4 linked regions of the Schizosaccharomyces pombe genome follow. The protein of the gene in region 1 interacts with the protein of each later gene in a pairwise test. Each region holds a gene or a part of one and is shown in the gene's direction. Other genes may lie near its edges.

Region 1 (5,348 bases):
ATCAACAAGTCATACGCGTTGAAACGATCTTTACCCTTTGACATCCCTTCTTTTAGAGATATTCAATTTTTACCGTTTAAATAGTTTTCAATGGCATCTGAGCGCGATCCTCTTCTGCCAGTGCATGGCGAGGGTCCGGAGAGCCCTTCTCGTAGAAATTGGAAAACTTGGATAAAACATGGAATTCTGTTAATCCTTGTTTTATCAACCGTTATATTTTTTTATTTTTTCTCGTCTCATAAGTCCAAAGGGACCAATGAGAAACCAAAATTTGTTATTATGATGGTTTCTGACGGTAAGTGATTGGAGTAAGCTCTCTCATAAATCCGTTGCTCTTTTGAAGGAAAATGATTTTTTTTATATTTAGAGCACTGGGACGGAATCTTCCTTTTTTTTACAATATTTCTCGGTGACTGACTTTTTTTAAAGGAATGGGACCTGGCTCTTTGTCTATGACTAGATCGTTTGTAGAGACTCTAAACGATAAAGAGGGTTATAGGCTTCCCTTGGATGAGCATTTAATTGGCAGTTCACGGACACGTTCCAGTTCGAGTTTGATTACGGATAGTGCAGCCGGAGCAACCGCATTTTCTTGTGCTAATAAAACCTACAACGGAGCTGTTGGTGTTTTGGATAATGAAAAACCTTGTGGAACTATCTTAGAGGCTGCTAAAGAAGCCGGTTACTTAACCGGAATTGTTGTCACAAGCAGAGTTACCGACGCTACACCTGCCTCTTTCTCTGCTCATGCCGCGAATCGATTCATGCAAGATTTAATTGCTGAGTACCAAGTCGGGATGGGACCTTTGGGAAGGAGTGTTGACTTATTGTTCGGTGGTGGACTTTGTTCATTCTTACCTAAATCTACTTATCGATCATGTAGATCCGATAACTTGGATCTTTTGAAATATGCTAGGAAAAAAGAAGGTTTCCAAATTTTGCTTAATAGAACTGACTTTGATGAGCTATCAAACGCTCAATTGCCTTTGCTTGGTTTGTTTTCTGATTATCATCTCAGTTATGATATTGATTATCAGCCTGAAGTGCAACCTAAGCTTTCTGAAATGGTAGAGACGGCTTTGGATGTTTTGCTCAACGCCACTAATGAAGATACATCTAAAGGATTTTTTTTGCTCATAGAAGGGAGTAGAATTGACATGGCCTCTCACAACAATGACCCTATCGCTCATGTTTACGAAGTTATGGAATACAACAGGGCCTTTGAAATAGCAAGTGCATTTGTAGAAAAGAATGGAGGATCTTTAATCTCTACATCGGATCATGAAACTGGTGGTTTGACTGTTGGTCGCCAGGTCTCCAAAAAATATCCAGAGTATTTATGGAAGCCGCAAGTCCTATCTCTTGCTCTCCATTCTATTGAATATCTCGCTTCAGCTATCGTGAACCATAACCAAAATACGTTGCTTCCTTATATTGAACAGTTTGTTTTACCCGCAATTGGCATTCCTGACCCTAATCCAAAGCAGATTCATGACATATACGTGGCCCGGCATAATATATTTAATCTTATAAACGTGCTTAGTGATATTGTTAGTGTAGAAGCACAAATTGGCTGGACCACTCACGGCCATACTGCTGTCGATGTAAACGTTTATGGAGTAGGAGAGGTCACTGAACATCTTCGAGGAAATATGGAGAACATTGAAATTGGACAGTTTATGGAGATATACTTAAATGTTTCACTAAGCGATGTAACTGAAAAGCTCAAAGATGCTCCCATACATGGTGCCCCAGATCGACCTAGTTTAGTGGAAACTTCATTTTCCGATCGTCTTGTAGGTTTCGGTGCTGATTTGTTTTAAAGCCTTTTAATCAAGATTGCCATAAATATATAATTTAGAATACTCTCATATATGCTCAGCTTATTTAAATCGCTTAATTATGGCATTCAAATTCTTTTTAAGTTAAACCTATTTTACTTCTTATCTTTTACTTTATTTAATTTCCACTGTGGTTGAGATATCCAACAATTGCGATTTAAGAGCAAACGAATATTACAATTATACATACAACTTGTCGCAATAAAGATAGTTAACATATCCATAACGAAAATATTATAATAATATTATAATAACAAACACGTTAATATATCAAATATCACAAACATATCGGGATATCATCCATATCATCCACGACAGCCGCGATTACCTCCCTTACAACGATTTTTTCGTAAACTTGAGAGAATGCCTCCATTGAGGCGTCAAGCGTTGACTTTAGCTGAAAAAAAAGCAATTAGAAAACATTATTTTGAGTCAGCAACTAAACCTTCGCAACAAGAGCTTATTAGTTGGTTCGAGGAGCACTTTCATAAAAAGCTAGCACAATCTACCGTTTCGTCAATTCTATCATCAAAGAACGAATTTTTAGATAATCTAGACGCAGAAAACTCTCAAATAAGAAGAAACCGCCAAGGAAAATATCCTATCTTAGAAAACGCCCTTATTGACTGGCAAACGAGGTTGCAAAAACAAGACGGAGCAATTACTGGAAACGCCATCAAAAAAAGCGCCGCAGAATTGTGGAGACGTATACCGGAGTACTCTGAGCTTCCGATTCCAGAATTTAGTAACGGTTGGTTAGAGAAGTTCAAAAAGCGTTGTTTAAAACACGGCCTTAAGTTACAGGGTGAATCTACTTCAGTAAATCAAGGAACGTATGAGGAAAACATGGTTCAAATACAGGAATTAATAAGTCTTTTTGATCCAAAAGACATCTTTAATATGGATGAGACGGGGCTATGCTGGAAACTTATTCCCAATCAATCTCCTGCGAGTGAACGAGTAAAAGGAATTACGAGAGATAAGGCTCGTGTCACCGTCACTATTTGTTGTAATGCTACAGGTTCTGAAAAGGCCCCTCTTTGGGTGATTGGATATGCTAAAAGTCCAAGGGCCTTTCGGCAAGCAAATGCTCATCCTGATTCCATGGATTTTCATTGGCGATATAATGGAACCGCTAGGATGACCACTTCCATTATGGAAGAATGGCTTCGTTGGTTTGACGATTTGATGAAGGGTAGGAAAGTTCTACTTATACTGGATAAGTTTGTCGCTCATGAATGCGCTTTGGAAAATATTCGCAATTCCGAGCGAAAGTTGGTAAACACGACTGTTGTTTTCCTTCCTGTAAATTCTACAGAAATTTACCATCCTTGTGGCCAAGAGATAGTCTACGCTTTTAAATCATACTACAGAAAATACTGGCTTAATTACATGCTTGAGGAGATTCGATTGGGAAAGAACCCCAGTAAGACAATGAATGTACTAAAAGCAGTTAGATGGATGATTCGTTCTTGGAACGTTGACTTTGAACCATCTATAATATACAATTGTTTCCTTCGTTCTGGGCTTTTTCAAAATCAGCAACCACTGACCGGTCCTTCTCCAGAAACCATTAGAATCGCGGTGAATTTGCAAGAATTGATAGGAAAATACCTTGGTGATAAGGATATTTTCCAAATCGAAAATTTTATTAACCCTATTGAAGAAAATTCTGCTGACACTAATGACGATATCGTTAACCAAGTTGCTGCTCAATTTCTTGATGAACGAGAGTTTGAAACCGATGAAGAAGAGGAAGAGTCACAGTATTTGTTATCAACAAAGGATGCGATAAATGCCATCAATACTTTACTAAACTTTCAAGAGCAATCGGAAGATGGAAATGTTTTGTTTACTCGAACATTACTTCAGTTTCAAAAGGTTTTAGAAAGCAGATCGATTGTGTAAAGGTTGTGGGAATTGGAAAATTTGTTTCTAACGAAAATGTACACATTTTCTATACTTTTAAATAATTTTTATAGAATATAAGAAAGATAAATAATTACAGTGAATTCTTAAAGGTTAACTACTAGACGTACTATTTCAATTAATGTGAGATTCGCGCTAAAAGCGTTTATAAACTCAATAAGATATATTGATAAAATAATAAAGTGAAGAATCAATTGTTTAAATTACGAAATTGAATTGGGACAAATTTTTTGTTTTGCGAAAAATAAGCATAGCGCAATGCATTAATCAACACAGTATGACTGTCTGTACTTGTCAACTCCAAACGCCATTATTCAGCATTGCAATTGAAATTGGACGTTGTGAGAAACAATTGAATGGATTTTTTTGAAGATAATAATCCATTCTCTGGCTCTGACAACAGAAGCGCCTCTTCTGCTGTCAATGTAGAGCCAAAAGTTGAGCCATCACAGCACCAGGGCTCTTCATCTGTCAAAGAGAATGCGATTAGCCAACCGAATGAGAGTTTTCAAAGTAGAAACATGTTTTTTCAAAAGGACGTAGATAGTGTTGTTGATTCAGCCCTCGATCCAAACGGAATTGTAATTACTGGAGCTATGAAGGCTGAGAGTGGATCACACATAGTATATATAATCAAACTTCAAGTAAGTTAAGGAAATTGGTTGATAATGTATTAAGTCGAACTATTCATTGTAGAATCCTTGCTTCATTCTTCTCTTTTGTTTGGAAGTATTGAAATGTTTGATTACTAACGGTTTTTAGGACTCAGAAATACACCATCGATATTCAGAATTTGCTTCTTTGCGCGTACAACTTAGCCGCCTGTATCCTACTTGCTTGGTTCCTCCATTACCTGATAAACATAAAATCATGGATTACTTGATAAACGTCACCAAAAACCAACGAATGTCTCGTATGCTCGAAGAAAGAAAGAGATTATTACAATTATTTTTGAGAAGGGTAGCACAACACCCTATTCTGGGCCTTTCAGAAGTTTTTCGAAAATTTCTTAGTCGACATGTATCTTGGAAGGAAGTATTGCATAGTCCTCCTATTAGTTGTCTCCCAAAGGATTTATTGAAAGCCCCACCAGCTGATCCTTCTTCTAAAGAGAATGCTGAGTTATACAAGGAGCTGCCTATTCCCTCTAAAACCCTTGTACCTCGTGACAATTATGACGATGTTGGGAAAAATTTTCTTATGCTTGAAGATACGCTACAGCAGTATTCAATAGTAGCACAAGAGGAATCCAATTTATTTAATCAAATTGTTTTATCAAACTCTAAGTATTGCCTCGCACACTCTACTTTGGGGGCAATGTTTAACGCTCTTTCGTTATCCGAGTCGGGAAAGCTTTTGACAGCACTGGAAAAGGTTGGACAAGCAAATGATCACACATGTCTTGCTAGTATTGACTTTATGCACAACTTTGTAATCGCGGTAATAGAACCGCTTCAGGAGCTTTCAAAAGACGCCAAAAATATGCGTCACATTTTTATCTTTAGAAAGATGAAGTTTATTCAACAGGTAATGGTCGAAGAGCTTCTCACAAGAAAAAAGAGCTTTCTTCATCTTTTG
Region 2 (6,067 bases), 570 kb from region 1:
TTTTATTCGTAGATGAAATGCATCTTTTAATGGGCGCAGGTTCCGGTGGTGAAGGTGGCATGGACGCTGCCAATTTGCTGAAGCCAATGCTTGCACGTGGTAAGCTTCACTGTATTGGTGCTACTACTTTGGCTGAATACAAGAAATACATCGAAAAAGATGCTGCTTTCGAACGTAGATTCCAAATCATCTTGGTAAAAGAGCCTTCTATTGAAGATACGATTTCTATCCTTCGTGGTCTTAAAGAAAAGTATGAGGTTCATCATGGTGTTACTATCTCTGACCGTGCCTTGGTTACTGCTGCCCATCTCGCTTCCCGGTACCTAACTTCTCGTCGTCTTCCAGATTCTGCCATCGACTTGGTCGATGAAGCTGCGGCTGCAGTTCGTGTTACTCGTGAATCTCAGCCCGAAGTTCTTGATAACCTTGAGAGAAAGCTTCGACAACTCCGCGTTGAAATTCGTGCTTTAGAGCGTGAGAAGGACGAAGCTTCCAAAGAACGTCTCAAGGCTGCTCGTAAAGAGGCTGAACAAGTGGAAGAAGAAACAAGACCTATTCGTGAGAAGTATGAATTAGAAAAGTCTCGTGGAAGTGAACTTCAAGATGCTAAGCGTCGTCTTGATGAGTTGAAGGCTAAGGCTGAGGATGCCGAGCGTCGTAATGATTTCACTCTTGCTGCTGATTTGAAATACTATGGTATTCCTGATTTGCAAAAACGTATTGAATATTTAGAGCAACAAAAAAGAAAGGCTGATGCAGAAGCGATTGCAAACGCTCAACCAGGCTCAGAACCTTTACTTATTGACGTAGTTGGGCCCGATCAAATCAACGAAATCGTTGCAAGGTGGACTGGTATTCCGGTTACTCGTTTGAAGACAACTGAAAAGGAACGACTCCTTAACATGGAGAAGGTTCTCAGTAAACAAGTAATTGGTCAAAATGAAGCAGTTACTGCAGTTGCAAACGCCATTCGCTTATCTCGTGCTGGTCTTTCTGATCCTAATCAACCAATCGCATCTTTCTTGTTTTGCGGTCCTTCCGGTACTGGTAAGACTTTATTGACAAAGGCATTGGCATCATTTATGTTTGATGATGAAAATGCAATGATTCGTATTGACATGTCTGAATACATGGAAAAACACTCTGTTTCACGTCTCATTGGAGCACCACCCGGTTATGTTGGACATGAAGCTGGTGGACAGCTTACTGAACAACTTCGTCGACGACCTTACTCCGTCATCTTGTTTGACGAGATTGAAAAGGCTGCTCCAGAAGTATTGACTGTACTTTTGCAGGTACTAGATGATGGACGTATCACTAGTGGCCAAGGCCAGGTTGTTGATGCCAAGAATGCTGTTATCATTATGACTTCTAACTTGGGCGCTGAATACTTGACAACAGACAATGAGTCTGATGATGGAAAGATAGATAGTACCACTCGGGAAATGGTTATGAACTCGATTCGTGGCTTCTTCCGTCCCGAATTTTTGAATCGTATCTCTTCAATCGTTATCTTTAATCGTCTGCGTCGTGTGGATATCCGCAATATTGTCGAAAATCGTATATTAGAGGTTCAGAAACGGCTTCAATCCAATCATCGCTCAATTAAAATCGAGGTTAGCGACGAAGCTAAAGACCTTCTTGGAAGCGCTGGTTATTCCCCTGCTTATGGTGCAAGACCTTTGAACCGTGTCATTCAAAATCAAGTTTTGAATCCCATGGCTGTCTTAATTTTGAATGGCCAGCTTCGCGATAAGGAGACTGCTCATGTCGTAGTCCAAAATGGCAAGATATTTGTCAAACCAAATCATGAAGCTAATGCAAACGGCTCTGCTGATATTGACATGGATGGTATTGACGACGATGTTAATGATGAAGAATTGGAATAAATGTATTTCAAATGAGAAAGTTCTAACGATACTTTATGATATAGTTTAATGATATGCTTAATCTTAATATATTTTATTTATTTATAAAAATATAGTATATAAACTTTTTAGGAAGTACTGTTTTCTCATTAAAATGTTCAATGAACTTTATCGAATAGATAGAATCAATTTAACAAAAGCTAAGTACATCGTTTTTAGTTATTAGCAATTCAAGTATGATGAAACATTGAATCTTAAATTTATCAAATAATCCATTGTTATTTACGAAAAACCTCCATTTATTTTAGTAGGTATTAATTAATGCAGTCCATTCAAGAAAGTCGAGCTTGTAAGAAAGTGCTCGTAATTCCTTATAAAATCAAAGCAGAATTAGCTCTCATACTTTTAGTAGATTTTAAATTGAATTTACATGATTAACTTTAACATTTGGTAAATCACTATCATATCATTTCATTACTTTCTACACTTGCGCATTGCATACTAATACGCATTCCAGTTCTCATGGTTCAAAGCAACGTTTAAATTAACAAGTTGTATAGTTAAACTTATACAGTGCTTTGCTTCTAATAGCCATTATTACCAGGAAATAACGAGATCACAGTTGCCCGCATACCATTAAGCTAACGAAACTTTACTGCACTAAACAAGAGACTAGCTTTTCGTAATTGTAATAAGACTTATCGAAAAGTTGAACCAGAGATCTTCAGTTCAGTAGATCATTGCCTTTCTCAAACGAAGCTTTAATTTATACTTCCTTAAAAATAATTGATTAGTCATATTTTCATGTTATACAAACTCTGTCATGGCTTCCAATCCGCTAGATAATAATATGCCGACGACTCCCGTTGAGGAAAAAATTCCAGTCGCTAGTTATTCTCCTAGCTCTTCTGGTAGTAGTTCCGGTGCTAGTTTACTAGTAGATATTATGTGCGGCAGTAAAGAAACTGAGGATGAAGAGGTTGATTCTGATGAATGGGATAAACCAGGTATGAATATCAACTATTAACTCCAATACCTTCAAGGGTACGCGCAAGTCTATTTGAATTTACAAAATTTACAATTGATCAACGATTTTGAGTTCAGGTTAGCTATGTGCTTTTCATATACTTTAGTTTATTTTAATTATTTAAAAAGTTAACGATTCCTTAGAAACAGAAAACATAAGTGATTTGGATGAACGATCCGAAATGGTCAGATATTTAAGGGCTTCAGGTAAGGAGTTACTTAATTTACATTTTAACTAGTATTTGTAGGCTATGCGAAATTCTTGGAGAAATATTTAATAGAAGAAGAGTTGCCTGTACGATCGATTTTAAAAAAACTTGGAATCAATTTGGTATGCTTACTGATTTATAACTTGCATTACATTAAATTAGCAGATTATTTTTGTTAAATTGCAATAATAATTTGGTCTACTGCATGTTTTGTTTTCTTATGACTTTACCTAGATTTATTAACGTAAATAGCCTAGTGCACTTGAAGAGTTTGAAGACATAGAGTATGCTTTTCTTTAACTTCCTTCTTATCTTTTTATCTTTTATTTTTTAAAATATCTGCTATCGATATACTAACGTGCTAATTAGTTTACTTCCTTTGCTGAAGGAAGTTTTAAAACGTGAGGTTGCTAGGAGAATCAAACTTCCACATTTTAATACCTTTGAAGATGTTGTTAATTTATTGAAAAAAGCTAAAAATGTTGTCGTCCTTGTTGGGGCAGGCATAAGTACAAGTTTGGGAATTTTAGATTTCCGTTCAGACAATGGTTTTTATGCCCGTTTGGCACGCCATGGATTATCGGAACCTTCTGAAATGTTTGATATCCATACGTTTAGAGAAAATCCAGAAATTTTTTATACTTTTGCTAGAGATCTTTTGCCGGAGACGAATCATTATTCCCCCTCGCATGCCTTCATTAGATTGCTTGAAAAGAAGAATAAATTATCAACATTGTTTACCCAAAATATAGACAATTTGGAAAAAAAGACTGGACTCTCCGATAACAAAATTATTCAATGTCATGGTAAGTATTTATTTTCCGATTTGCATCTCGAGCACTGGTGATTTTGTCTAATTTGATTATATAGGGTCTTTTGCTACCGCAACTTGTATCAAATGCAAGCACAAGGTGGATGGATCGGAGTTATATGAAGACATAAGAAATCAAAGAGTTTCTTACTGCAATGAATGCGGAAAACCACCCTTAAAATTAAGAAGAGTCGGTCAAAATAAAAAAGAGAAACATTATTTTTCAGATGGTGATAGTGAATCTTCTGAAGATGATCTAGCTCAACCTGGGATTATGAAACCTGATATCACATTTTTTGGGGAAGCCTTACCGGATTCTTTCTTTAACAAAGTCGGGAGTGGTGAGCTTGAAGAGACTGATTTATTAATTTGTATTGGAACTTCTTTAAAAGTGGCTCCTGTTTCAGAACTCATCAGTGTTATTCCTCCTACTACTCCTCAGATTTACATTTCGAGGACTCCTGTTCGTCATACCCAATTCGATGTAAATTTTCTAAGTCCTTATTGTGATTGGGTTATTGTGGAGATTTGTAAACGTGCTGGATGGCTGAATGAATTACAAGCGCTTTGCGATTTACCTGAGTGTCATAGTGGTTCCAAAACGCGAGCTTTCGAAACGGATTTGGATATAAAATTTGAGGAGCCCAGCACCTATCATATCACGAGCACAACAAACGGTAGTTGTTAATTTTAGGACTGATCGATCTATCGAAGTTGAATGTAGAAGCAAATATATTATATACATATATCGAGTATGAGAGCCAGATTATTGGACATTAACTTATTATCCGTTTGAGACTTCTTAGTTTTGTAAGTGCCATTGTTAAAAACTGTTTTTTCTCTTCGCACCTAATGTTTAAATCTGCTAAACTGGGTGAAAACACATTAAAACAAGTTATAATACATTTTACAATACCAAGGACTGTGTAATTAGTAAATGAACATTGAAGCAAATTACATTCATAGGCTATGCAAAATTAGCTACTTTTTTAAGCATAGTAAATCAGTGAAAATGACACAATTATTATTTAAAATTGAAAGATTGATTGGTACATATCAATACAACCAATGAAGCATCTAATTGTACGATACTAAAGAGAAACAACTGAAAACGGACAATTAGAAATTGGTCAACGATATTGACACTCAAACTCAAAAGAAGAAAACAGATTTAATGAAGAATATAAAATGCACGGATCATCGAAAAAGCCACCAAATCAAGCCCATTTACCTAACAAAGCCATAACTCCAGTACCAGCCATCGAGCATGCCAAAAGGTAAATAAGCTTATACCAGTTACGTTCTCTTTCAGGACTAAATAAGAAATCGTGTGCAAGTAATTCCACTAAACCAGCATAAACCAAAATTCCAGATGAGATAGCATCCAAAACACCTTGGGCAGCATAAGACCCATGAGCAAGAGGATCCCAATGCTCACGAACACCTAAACCAGCTGCCATACCAATAGGCGTAACCAACGAATAGATAACGCCCAACACCCAAGGTACCCATGCAGTTTTTGGGCCCCAGGCCATTCCCGCCAAACGAGAACCTAAACCACAACCTTCAAAGGCCTGATGGAAAATAATGACGGGAAATAAAGTTTTAAATTCTTCACCTGAGACGGCAGTTGTAAGACCGATAATAACACTATGCAAAATGATACTAGATTCAAGAATTATAAAGGCAGTAAGTTGTTGCTTTAGTAAGAAACTACGAGCTTCTTCTTTAGTAGTCAAATCGGTACTATCAGTATTCGTATAAGGTTCTAGTTTTACTTCTTCCAAGTCATCCTTTACACATTCATGCTCAACACCATCGGCACATTCTTCAATATCATAAACTGGATGTTCATGAACACCGTGAGCACCGTCTTCGTGACTATGACTGTGTTGTTTGGCACCAAGAGTTGGACCATGATGATCGCCGATTTCCATACCGAACCGCCATTCCACATAGCGATTCAAAAGGACCTCCAACAAGAGAATAAACCAACAAGAAATAAGACAAATACCTGGAGCCCAATCGTAACCTCCGAAAAGGTCGTCAAGACAAGGATCGTAAAGCTTGTTACAAGCAGGGGCTAACAAGTGAATAAAAGCAGTAGCCAAAATAACACCAGAACCAAAATAACGAGCGAATAGATAGAGATA
Region 3 (6,752 bases), on another chromosome or scaffold:
TGGATCGTTGAACGAGTTCCCCATTGCTTTTAGGAGATTTCGAACGAGGGTGTCGGAATGTGCTGCTCGGTAAACATAGAAAAAACAATAAAAACCAGTTTCCCAGTCAATGCAGAATTTGAAAACTGTTTGTAATGAAAATAATTAATCGTGTCCGTAAAAGCACAACCTTTAACACGAAATTTGTTTAATTGAGAAGATAAGATGGGGTTTTCGCTTACATATATTTAGACAAGCGCAACATAATAGGGTAAGTATCACAGGAAGAAGAGGAAAAATTAGAATACAATTTTAAAATCATGACAATGTAAGTAGTGTAAGAGCGAGGACTTCTATAATATTTGACAGCGGCAATTCGGGAAAACATATTGCCTAAGTCTGATTTTTTTTGAAGTTCATTATTTTGCTCAAAGGAGTGTGCTGAAAGAAATAAATAAATCAGCGTTAATAAAATTTAATATAAATGAATCAGAATATAAGTTAGATGAAAAATTCGATAAGTAAGCAATCAAGCAGTTTAACTGTTCGGCTAATAATACACGGGCAGGTTTATTCCTATAATATCTAACGGGTGGTCTGCATTTGATATGATCATTGCAACGTTGGTGTCTGACAGAAAAAAGTCGAATTCTTATAGATGAATTCTAGCATTTCTTCAGTCAGAAAAATATATCGAAGACTCTAAGTTTACCCTTTAAATGTGTCACTTGTGGTTTTCTTATACGGAAAAGATACAGAACAATCCACGGCTAAAGGAGATCCTCATCCAACAACCCGAGAAAGTCTATCATTTGGATGAACGGATACTCATCCAAAACTTTCAAGAATTGTGTTTTTTTTGCTTCTATCTTCAATGCCCTGTATCGAACTGAATTGCGATTGTCATTAATTTGCCTTGCTATGCCATACCAAGCCAAGCTATTTTAAGCAAACGGTTTAGTTGGACTCCAATAATAAATGCTTTACAAAAAAGAAATGCGATTGATAAACTAGAACACTCTCCAATGTATGTCTACCAATTCCTAAATACTTTCAATTCGCAACATTCTTATGGCCTTTGTGGTCGCTTCAATTCGGCTTTGAAAACCGGGTTAAAAGGCATCGCATAAATTTGTATCTTCCAAAACAGTTGATTTTATAAAAAGCTCATAAATAATTTCTCAGCGCGAGCAAATGGTAATTTCTTTGAAATCAGCGCCTTTGGAATTTTCATTTTACGCCTTATTGACATTCCCATCGATATACGTAACATGTTACTCCATGATACATGGTTTCAGCTGATGCCAAGGCATCGTTGCGTAAGCATTACGAAGGAATATGATGATGGAAGGAGGCATGGGTTGGGCAGTTTCTGCAGTCTGCTAAATTTAAATAGTCTGCCTATATATATTAAATCTCTCGCACTTTTATGACCTTCCCTCTCCCATACATATTTGCAAGTTTGCGTATAACGTTGCTTTCTAACACAATTTACTTTTAATCCACTTCAAACACTTGGTTTAGCTTTTAAAGAAAAGCTTAGGATTTTGCTACTGTTTGTTACGAGGAATTGTTGCAGAAGAATTCAATTTTTTTAAGTCGTATTTACCAACGATTTTATTCAATTTAAAAAGTTTGACTTTCATAGGCTGTTGCTTAGTTTATCGTCAATTCCTTGCGTATTGCCGGAACCTAGTTAATATCTAAAAAAACACAAACAAACCAAATTCCAAAAGTGGTTGAAAATTGCCGCTTCGCTACTTTTACTATCTCCGGGAAAGAAGACCTGTAATTTAATTTTTTCTTCTTCTTCCAATTCGTACTATTAATATTACCGCTAGTTTCTTCTTATTCTTTCGCCTACTACTTAATTGTTCAATATGCAAATTACTCGTGAGTCAAAATACATTATTGGGCTCGTCTTAGCCTTGGGTGTAAGCTTTGCTACCCTTTTGGCTCATTTGTTTACCAAACCATCTCTTGAATGGGTTTACAATCACCATGCCACTCCATTTTTCGCCAACAAGTTCATGCTTGGTGGCTACCTCTTGGTCGAATACTTGTCTTTCCTTTTGATGATTGTGCCCCTTTTAATGCTTGGTGATCAGGTAAACGATTTTACCTTCTCCATTATTCACACATCTATCTGGTACAATGTATTTGTCGTGTTTACCGTCTGGGCATTTACCCGTGAGAAGCTGTACTGGACTGCATTCTTTTCCTTGTGTCTATTCTCATCTTCTTTCACCATGTACGGCCAATCGCTTCGCTTGAGAAATGGTTTTGTTGAGATGATTAGCATGAAGTTGCCCTCGAAACTTGTTTTTGGCAAGTCTCTTTGGTTCGTTGTTTATGCCTTCTCTGCCGCTTTACACTGCACCGGCATTGGTTGCCGCGTCTTTTCTAATGTGTTTATCTGGTTCTTTGCCGCCATGTATCTTGTTCCTATTTTAGGATTCCATGACTGGGCTCTTTCCCTCGTCAGCGCATACCTTTTCCTTTCAATCGGTATTGGACAAATGTTTATTCACCTCTTTGCCTTGCAACACATTTTCGCCTTTATCATTGCTGGTCTCATGACCCTTTTCGCTGCTCTTCTCTTCCTCCTTCCCTACAGACAGAGACGCGCTGCTTTAACAGGCGAGAGTGCTCCTTTGCTTCAGGACAACAACGCGGGACCCGCAGTTTAAACTCTTGTAGTCTTCTGCATGTTGTTGCTCCGTTCTACTAAATAGTATGATAATGAATTTGCTTAATTGTATTATGTTACACTTAACTTTAGTATAAAAATTTAATTTTTCTCCCATAAATCTTTCGACTCAAAATTCAGGTGGATAGCAGATTAAAGCATAGTTTTGACGATCAACTTCATCATGGTTAATAGCACCCTTCTTAGTATAAAGTTGCTTCGTGTGCTAACTTTACAAGCACTTCATTGACGAAGACATCCAGCTTATTCTTATATGGATCACGAAAGTGTCATCATATTCAACTATTCGTACTCTGGCTAACTTGTACGCTAATTATTTAATCTTATTTGCTTCATGTATTTATTAAAGAACCCTTAAAGCAAAAAACTTGGTATACACTACTTTTTCTTTACTTAGCTCAATATCTCAATTACTTTCTCATGCCGACGGTTACGCACCTCCATTCAACCTTGGCCTACTCCATATATCGAACCATCAAAATTCCTTCATCTTGGTATTCTTGAGGCGTTAAATACCTTCTTTAAACCTTTTCTTTTTACAATTCCTTCGTTTTTCTTGTTACTGTAAATATATATCAATTTATTTAAAGTTTGCGTTCAAAGTTCTATAAACGAATTTTACGTTCCAACTACTGCGTTTGACCTTTTTTTTCTCTTTATATATACAAATACCAAGTTATAAAAAAATTCATGTTTTCCGTACGTCTAAACTATGAGTTTTCATACTGACTGATATAGGCTAAAGCAAAAACCTATGAACTAAAACTAGAACAAACAAGATGTAATGGAGATTGGCAGGCAATTCCTGAGGTTGCTAGAAAATTGCATAAGCATAACTCTTCAAAGTCCTGTGAGTGATTTACAGTCAAAGTTTTCCACTTGTCATCTAGACTAACCTTTTTTTAGTCGTTTGTGAATTAGCAAAAATTGAAGCTTCTCTTAAATCAGCATTAACTGCTGAACTAAAAAATATTGCAAACGTTTTGGAGCCTAAATTAATAGATAATCAGTATTCCCTAATTCCGGCTTTACCCAGTGCTCGTACCGACCCTCTTCTAAGTCAATTAAACTCATTGAACATTCAAAATGCCACAGAAGATGAGAAGCTTCAGGAGACATCCATACGCTTGTTATTATACATTGTACAGCGTAAATTTCCCGAAGCCGTAGATTTAGATTGGTCTCCTCAAGGAATTCCGTGGACTGAAACTTCCACTGGTATATGCATCCTACAAGCAACAGTGCTATCATCGCTAGCTCAATATGCTCAAGCTAACGATGAAGTTGCATATCAATACGTTCGTTCGGCCATTGGCTTAATTCAAAATGCCAATATTGGCAAGAAGCCTTTACCGGAACTTACAAGATGGTGCGATCTTGCATATTCATTGTATGCTCAAATGTCTGTAAGCGCTTGTTCGAGTCAATTAGAAAGAGCTAATATACTTACTACATGCTTGAGCTATTTTACCGAGCATAAGTCCGTGAATTTGCTTTATAAACTAGTTACCAGCAGACAAGCTATTAAATATTTGGAACATATTTTAAGAACTAATACAAATGGATCAAAAATTTTTACTAAAAGTCCGGTTAAAAATCTTTATTTAAATTGGCCTCAACTTGTCCTCGATTATGGGTCTTTGTTATGTAACTTTACCTCTTTTCCTAAAGCTGGTGATCAAAACATGTTCGCCGTTGAATTTATTGAACTTGCAACATCAATATGGATAAACACAGAGAAATCTTACGATATCACTGTCAGCTTGATTCGAATGCTTTATCAGCTTACTGGAAAATGCTTCCAAGCACAACAAATTTTTCGTTCTTTGGTATTTTTTTTAAGGCATATTGAGGAATTTGAAGAAGCTAGCGAGGCTTTTGAAATTTACAAGTTTCTATGCGTAAAATCTCACGAACGGTTAGCAAGAAAAAATTCAGATGTCGCTGGCTCTTTTTCTGATATCAAACCAGTGTTTGTTGATGAACCGAAAAGTATTATTGAAGTATGCTCCGTTATGATGACCGTTTATGCGCAATATCTTCGTAATTTGAAAAAAGTTTCTGAAATACTTGATTATATTACAAAAATTGCTTCTGATTATGATTTACTGAAACGTGACGATATTGCTCCTTTAATTTATCATACAGAAGGAGTTGCTTATTCTTTCATGTATTATCAAGCTAACAACCCTTCGTTAAGGGAAAGATATCACCAGAAGAGCGTCCAATCTTACCAGAAATGTCTAGAAAAGCAACCAACCAATACAAATGCACTTTTCCATTTGGCTATGCAATATTCGGAGAGACGTGCCATTACTGATGCAATGCAAATTGTTCGGCGACTTCTTGAGGTGAACCCTAAGTACAGTATTGTATCTTGGCATCTTTTGGTTTTGTGTGTGTCTTGTTCTGAACAATACGCAGCAGGAATTAAGCTGATCGATAGTGTATTTGAAACTTGGGGCATTAATCATGTCAATGAAGATGGCACTATTGAGATTAGTTTGACAAATTTGACATTTAATGACCGCTGCGCTTTGGTCGATTTATTGATTACGAAACTAGCTCTTTTTGAAGCCGAAAAAGGCGTAGAAGCTACTCTGGATATCCAGGATGAAATATTTACATTATTTGCTAGTATTTTTGATTTGAATGAGTACAGGATATCAAAGGAAGGATCGTCAGATGAATTATCAACGCTTTTAGAACGATCGACTATTCAATCCATTAAATCATCCAAGAAAATCTCTAAAGATGTGGAAAATGAAAAAGGAAGTATTCTTGGGTTTTCCAGGAAATCATCGCTTAAGAGATCTACTGTTTTAAGCAAAAAATCCCACTCTTCCTATAAAGAAAATTTTCAGTTACGTCGTGGTAAAACCGTATCATATCTCAATCAGAAGCTTTGGCTTACCGCTGCATCTCTTTTCCTTAAAAGTGGAAATGATGATCAAGCACGAAGCGCTTTACTAGAAGCTAAAAAAATAGACCATGAATGTGCTTGGGTGTACTATTTAAATGGTTTATCTTTACTACAACAGGGAAAAGAAGTTGAAGGGTATGAGCAACTTGACGTTGCTCATTATTTAGACCCGGAGGATCCCTTAATTTCGACGGCCCTTGCAAAGTGTCTTTTACAAGGTGGCTATGGGCCTATGCATTCTCGTAGAAATAGAGCAGATGCTATTTTATCGAGCTGTACTTTGCAGTATGGCTGGGATCTACCAGAAGCTTGGTATTATACTGCAGAAATATTTCGTCAACTCGGTGATTTAAAACAAGCTGCGTTTTCGTATGATTATTGCATCCAGCTAGCTGATACAAACCCTGTACGCCGATGGAGTAACTTGCAGCCTAGGTTTATGAACGTTTAAACTGTCTACATTTTTTGGACTTTTATTATTTATAAATTGAATTTACAAACTTTAAGGCACTTTCAATAGTAATTTATATGTTTCCTTTGTAGTGATTGTAACTTCAATATGAACTCACATAATAGACATAAATAGATAAATGTTATTTATGACATTGTGTTAAATTAATAACGAAGCAATTGCACCTTGAATCAGTATCTATAACAGTCTTCTTTCCAAATCACCAACAAACAAATAGCATTAGATAATTGCACCGAAAATAACGATTCAAGGACATTTCAAAATTAGCGATTATTTGGTCTGTATTTGCAGCGTCAAAAAACTAAGAGCTTTCAGGAGTGTTGTCTATAACATCTTTGGAAGATTCAGTATAGGCAGAGGATCTTGAATAATATTGATCCAAAATCTTCTTAGGAATACGAGTTAACATCTCACGAGGGAAGATGCGAAGGAGGGACCAAGCCAAATCCAGTGTTTCAAAAATAGTACGATTCTCGTAAGCACCTTGACTAATGAAAGTCTTTTCAAATTTACCCAAAAATTCAAGAGCAAGGCGATCTTCTTGAGAAAGGGCTTCCTCGCCAACTACTGATTTCATGGAAGCAGCATCACGACCGATGGCATACATTGCATACAGCTGGTTAGAAACATCACCATGATCATTTCTAGTCATTCCTTCACCAATGGCA
Region 4 (5,093 bases), 3.7 Mb from region 1:
TTAGCATTAATAATTCTTTTACGTTAAATGTATGATTTCTCAATTTAATGTCATTTTTGATTTCATTAGGAAAAAATAGATGACATTTACTACTGGTGAAATTATTTATTTTTCAATTCTTTTTATTATTTTGCATTTTTGCAATGTAAAAATATTATAATATTACACAAAAGGATATAACTATGAAGCTACACAAAGCATTTTATGTTCATCGCTTCTACGGCGCAGGTAATCAGACGAATTTTAAAAGTGTAATTGGTGATTTAAAAAGTTTATGTTATGAAAAGAAAGTTAAGTACAATAAGAAAGCATTAAGCATGTGGATGTAATTATTGGATGTGTTAGTTTACTCTCTGCATAAGTGCTCGGTGGTTTTATAAACTAGTGAGAAGAATGATTTCCGAGTACTACTTGAAGTTAAGAAAATAATTAATACAATCTCTTTTGAAACTAACCAGTCCATAATAGTATTCAAAGAATCTGGAAAGTACAGAATTTTTGGGAGCCTGACACTGATGCGTTATAGTAAACACGGTAATGTAAATTTGTTAAATATTTAGTTTAACGTAATGGATTGAGGGTTACCATAAATAGAATTCATAAGAAAAAATGGAGGAAGGGTGTCTTTATGATGTCCGCTAGCATTAAAGAGCATTTTTTTATTCAAGGATCGTATTCATATAACTGGAAGGCTATGTTAAGCATTTTTTTAATGCCTTTGTATGATTATTGTTACCTGATTTATGTTTACGTTATCTATGCGTGGTGTCACTAATTTGCAGTATATGTTCATGTGAGACGCACATTCGATAATTTACCATTAACGTGCAAGTTACATTTATTGAAAGTAGGTAATTTGCATTCTAATGGGTGGTCTCGTTGTTTTACTTGTCGGCCTTTTGACGGCCTTAATGAGTGTAGTTTCTTACTATGTCTCGCCCAAGGGAAATAATACTAGGTAAGAAGTTTGCTACTGATTGGAGTGAATCATCTATATATCGAGGTATAGCAATTATGTTCCCATTTAAAGTCTTGTGTTATGATCAGTAGCTTGTTTTTACTTCGTTTCATTTTCGTTTAGAGATATGGAAAAGTATATGTGATTGTCTTTCTTGCAACCAATCAAGGTAGCGCTGTTTAGGCCTTGTCTTCAGCTGCACATGGACAATCTGGAATTGGGATCAGTTGCTTGTATTATATTTTCATACTCCTTCCTTTAACAAAAGTTTTATTAACTCTCAATTAGTACTTGGCAGATGTCATTAATTCTTACTTTTTCTTGTTGCTATTTATTATGGTTAGTGCATTTGTGGTGTTCTTATGCATCCATATTGTTTTTCTTTTTTACTAACATCGTTCTTAGGGCAATTACTTATTTAGCACAGTTGCATCCATTAGAGGCTCCATCTCGAGTTCTTGAGTAATGAAGTTTAGTATAATCATAGTGATTTTTAATGTTTGTACATTCTTCCTCTTTTATTTTACTTATCGTTTAGACTGCAAGCTTTCCAATTAGAATCTACTTTTGAACCTTTTCCTCTTCCTATTTTTTGATACTATTCGTTTCTGATCGTCGGGCTCAACTTTCTAGTCTCTAAAATCCTATTGGTGTTTGTCGATTATTATTACAAATCAAACACGTTTGAGTATTTCTTATTTTTATAATCCATATCTTTAAACGTTTCTTATTTTAATATATATATGGAGTCAGTTAAGTCATGGCTGGAACCTGGCGTTATTTAAAGGTCGGTTCACGTGGATTTCAACATTGCATTTAATCTTTGCGAAAGGATATACCTTCATTATTTCTTTTCTTTGATTTTACTAGATTTATTGGTCTCCCCGTCTTTTGGTTGTCGCTTTTTCTTTTACTCGGATGTGTGTATGAAAGGCGACGTATATTTACGTTATCAAAAGCCTTGCTACAAATATACTGAATCATATAGAAATACAATAAAAAATTGAAATAATAGACACAACAGGATATTCAAAAGTTTTTTTGGTGCCAAAAACTCTAAGATGTTGTAAGTTTAGTTTAATATTTGGACTGAAGTTCATGATAGTAGTGGCGCTCCTAATACGCAATTTTAGTTGACTAAAAAAAATATTTGAGATAGAGAAAGTCTGAATTGTTATTAAAGGTCTACTGGCTTCATAAACACAAGTTCGCGACTATTCAACATTGTTCCACTATAGCACATAGACATTTGCACACACTGATAGTTAAGAAATACATTTTACAGTGTGATTTTGAACGGATTGGTTTCTTGAAAAGATAGGAAGACTGAAAAAATAAAGATTCGTATATAAAAAAAGCGAAAAACTTACACTAGTGATGTTGAATGCGATATAATTTTCTGTTATGAAGAAAAAAGGGTTGAACTTACCAAATTTACGCATTTACTAGATTTTTCGTGTATTATACCTTTTTAAAATGAAACAAGAATATATTCCGCTAGACGAATTCCCAAACAAGTCTAATGAAGGGATGCTGAATGATGAAGGTACCTCTTCTTCTGGCTTATCGACAAGAACGCGTAGCTTAGAGCTTTTTGACAATATGGAAGAAAGTGGCTCCTTTCCAAAAGTGGAAAGGAAAATACAATCGCTTTTGGATGAGCTGGCTGAAGTGTTGTTTCAATCTAAACAGCCCAACGACTTGACCAGGATTCGAAAAGCCATCGCTGAGCAGTTGCAGTTATGGTGTCAAGCTTGTCAAGAAAACGCTGATTTATATAGGAGCCAGCAAAGGAAATTGAAGAGCCGTTGGGACTCGCAGACAGACATTTTATCCCAAATTGAATCGACCAAAGCAAGTCTGGCAGAGGTGCACAAAGCGGAAGAAATATCGAATCTAAAGACAAGCATTACACATTTAGATGAGGAAATTCAAATTTTGCAGGAAAAGTTGGCGATTGTAACGAACCAACGAAACACCCTTGTAAAACGACTCCAGACTTATGATAATCTAGAAAAGAAAAAGGCACTCAGTATGGAAGATCGCCTTTTAACTCTGCAGGAGCAGTATGATGCACATGCTAATGTATCTTCCCTTGAAAAACGGATGGAAGTATTGAAGAAAAGAGAAGATCTTTTGCGACTAATGGTCGGGCAAGCACTTCCAGGAATGCAATTCTTCCAACGTTTGATCCATCAAATCCAAGCTGTCGAAACAAAACTAATCTCAATACTGGGGCCTACTTCTTTATCAGAAGCTGCTTTGCCTCCATTAACTGACGTTCAGCGCACTAGTGTATTATCACTCTTGACCTCGACTCTTCACTCTTTGGAGTCGGCGAGACAGATTGCTGACTCCAATACATGGAAGCCAATCATTGTTTGTTTAGAGCTCGAAATTGTATATTTTGAGAATATGCTTACTGCGATAACCTCGACTCCCGTTTCTTCCTAATAATTTAATTTTCATTCCGTATACTATCAATACAACCTTCTAATATTAAAATATGGTCATTCAATGGCACAATGCATTCCTTGGCGTGTTGACCGACAGCCTTACTACTTTTACCCTGCACGGCTTCAAGATACCTGTTAATTGTGGAGAAATATATATTTCATACATGATTTTACCTCCAGATTTTCAGCCTCATCTAGCACCACATCGTTAAAATCGTATATAATATTTATTTCAGCTGTATTTTCGGCATGATATTTATTTAATAACACCAACTTTGATCATCTTTGATTTGTCTTCTCAAACTCTCTTCTACACAACAAATGACAAAATGTTAAAGTAATGCGAGTCGAGTTCATTAGTGATTCAATTCAAATATGCTATTGAATGCCTATTTCCATACTTAAACTGTCAATCTCCTACCCAAATCAAACACTGTCATAATAAACATCCCTGAATCTAAAGCTACCTTAATAATCTTTGTTTTGTCTTGTTCAACCATCAACCTACTACAAACGAAACAGTTTTCAAAAAGTAACACCATTTTAGTTTTCAAACAATTCTACGCTAATACCACGTACATTCACTTTCGGTTCACATAACCGATTCTGTCAAACATCCTCAGAATGTCGTTTTCCATTTCGAACCCATTCTTTCAGTTTTCCATTTCCATTCAATACGACACAGTCGTATGAAGATGGATTCTAGCTTATTTGCAAAATGTCACGGAACCAAGAAATCCGATTTTGAACAAACGACATTGCGGCTCCTTGTTCGTCGCAATCCTCCGTTTGAGTGAAATTCATCGAAATCACTTCTAAAGCTACGCTGTCTTATTTTTGCCGCACTCGGACTTTGACATCACTCTTAAAAATCATCGAGCAATAGAATTGTTGATCAAACGGCTTGCCACGCACTTTGTCTGCTGGTGGTATGAGACGCTAGTGAAGTTAACTATTACAGCAAACATCGTTCACCTACATATATATTGAATTGAAAGCCCGCGTTGCCGATGGGCAAAACGAATGAAACAAGAATCTTCCAATAGCGAAATTTAGACATCATATCGCAAATATTACTTTTAACTGCGTAGTTTAAAATTCAGGATCGAGCTTATCTGCAAAAGAAAAGAAAGGGAGATCATTGTTCTACGCTTATTATCATAGCATTCCCCGATTGCTACTGACCTTATCAAAACTATTCTTGCAAATCCCATTCTCTTTTCGCTTCGTTTTTGTCCATACAGTGGAGTTTGGGAATTTTTAAAATCTTTTCGTTTTTTTTACGGCTTACAAGATTTAAAATTTCTCATTCATACACTTGATTACTTATTTTATTGTTTCGTTTTTGTGTGTGTATTTTGTTTCTACTTGTCGTTACTCCTGTCATTTTCGTTTGATTAATTAAAAAAAAAGATATAAAGGCTAATCTTTTCTTATCTCTGAATTGGAAAGGATTTCTGCAAACTATTCAAGCCACCGTCTGCAATTATTATCGTTATCTTGCCATTGGTGTGTCAGTAAAGTGAAGCAGATTGTCAAAATATTTGATTTACTAAATATATTATAACTGTTTCAGGTAAATTATCTTATTGCTTGAGTAGTCAAATTAAGGATACTGAGATTTCTATATAGGAATTCCTTCATATATCCATCTGATAGCCATTGCGCAATTGATTTGT

Evidence for each region.
Region 2: the proteins of cbh2 (region 1) and sir2 interact in a two-hybrid assay, tested with the Schizosaccharomyces pombe proteins (one large-scale study listed by BioGRID).
Region 3: the proteins of cbh2 (region 1) and ypp1 interact in a two-hybrid assay, tested with the Schizosaccharomyces pombe proteins (one large-scale study listed by BioGRID).
Region 4: the proteins of cbh2 (region 1) and SPOM_SPBC1685.04 interact in a two-hybrid assay, tested with the Schizosaccharomyces pombe proteins (one large-scale study listed by BioGRID).

What each region holds. Positions count from the first base shown.
Region 1 is NC_003423.3:4,179,267-4,184,614, reverse strand, and holds cbh2 (CENP-B protein 2), read left to right. Parts: upstream 1-2,176; 5' UTR 2,177-2,204; coding exon 2,205-3,749; 3' UTR 3,750-3,878; downstream 3,879-5,348. Other genes in the region: pho8 (alkaline phosphatase), read left to right, coding at 91-295, 430-1,823; sorting nexin Snx41, read left to right, coding at 4,127-4,414, 4,533-5,348. UniProt on the Schizosaccharomyces pombe protein: Binds to the central core and core-associated repeat regions of centromeric heterochromatin.
Region 2 is NC_003423.3:3,608,181-3,614,247, reverse strand, and holds sir2 (histone deacetylase, Sirtuin family, NAD-dependent Sir2), read left to right. Parts: upstream 1-2,561; 5' UTR 2,562-2,691; coding exon 2,692-2,875; exon of another isoform or gene 2,876-3,038; coding exon 3,039-3,101; exon of another isoform or gene 3,102-3,138; intron 3,139-3,142; coding exon 3,143-3,225; intron 3,226-3,355; coding exon 3,356-3,387; exon of another isoform or gene 3,388-3,472; coding exon 3,473-3,909; exon of another isoform or gene 3,910-3,973; coding exon 3,974-4,602; 3' UTR 4,603-5,031; downstream 5,032-6,067. Other genes in the region: heat shock protein Hsp104, read left to right, coding at 1-1,889; plasma membrane ZIP zinc transmembrane transporter Zrt1, read right to left, coding at 5,132-6,067. UniProt on the Schizosaccharomyces pombe protein: Involved in silencing within the mating-type region, at the telomeres, and according to PubMed:12867036 also within centromeric DNA regions.
Region 3 is NC_003424.3:4,540,695-4,547,446, forward strand, and holds ypp1 (cargo transport protein Ypp1), read left to right. Parts: upstream 1-3,141; 5' UTR 3,142-3,379; coding exon 3,380-3,388; intron 3,389-3,427; coding exon 3,428-3,539; intron 3,540-3,595; coding exon 3,596-6,063; 3' UTR 6,064-6,252; downstream 6,253-6,752. Other genes in the region: SPOM_SPAC637.03 (uncharacterized protein), read left to right, coding at 1,860-2,669; vma2 (V-type ATPase V1 subunit B), read right to left, coding at 6,386-6,752. UniProt on the Schizosaccharomyces pombe protein: Involved in endocytosis.
Region 4 is NC_003423.3:500,439-505,531, forward strand, and holds SPOM_SPBC1685.04 (uncharacterized protein), read left to right. Parts: upstream 1-2,225; 5' UTR 2,226-2,434; coding exon 2,435-3,412; 3' UTR 3,413-3,755; downstream 3,756-5,093. Other genes in the region: vma9 (V-type ATPase V0 subunit e), read left to right, coding at 867-958, 1,247-1,297, 1,364-1,424.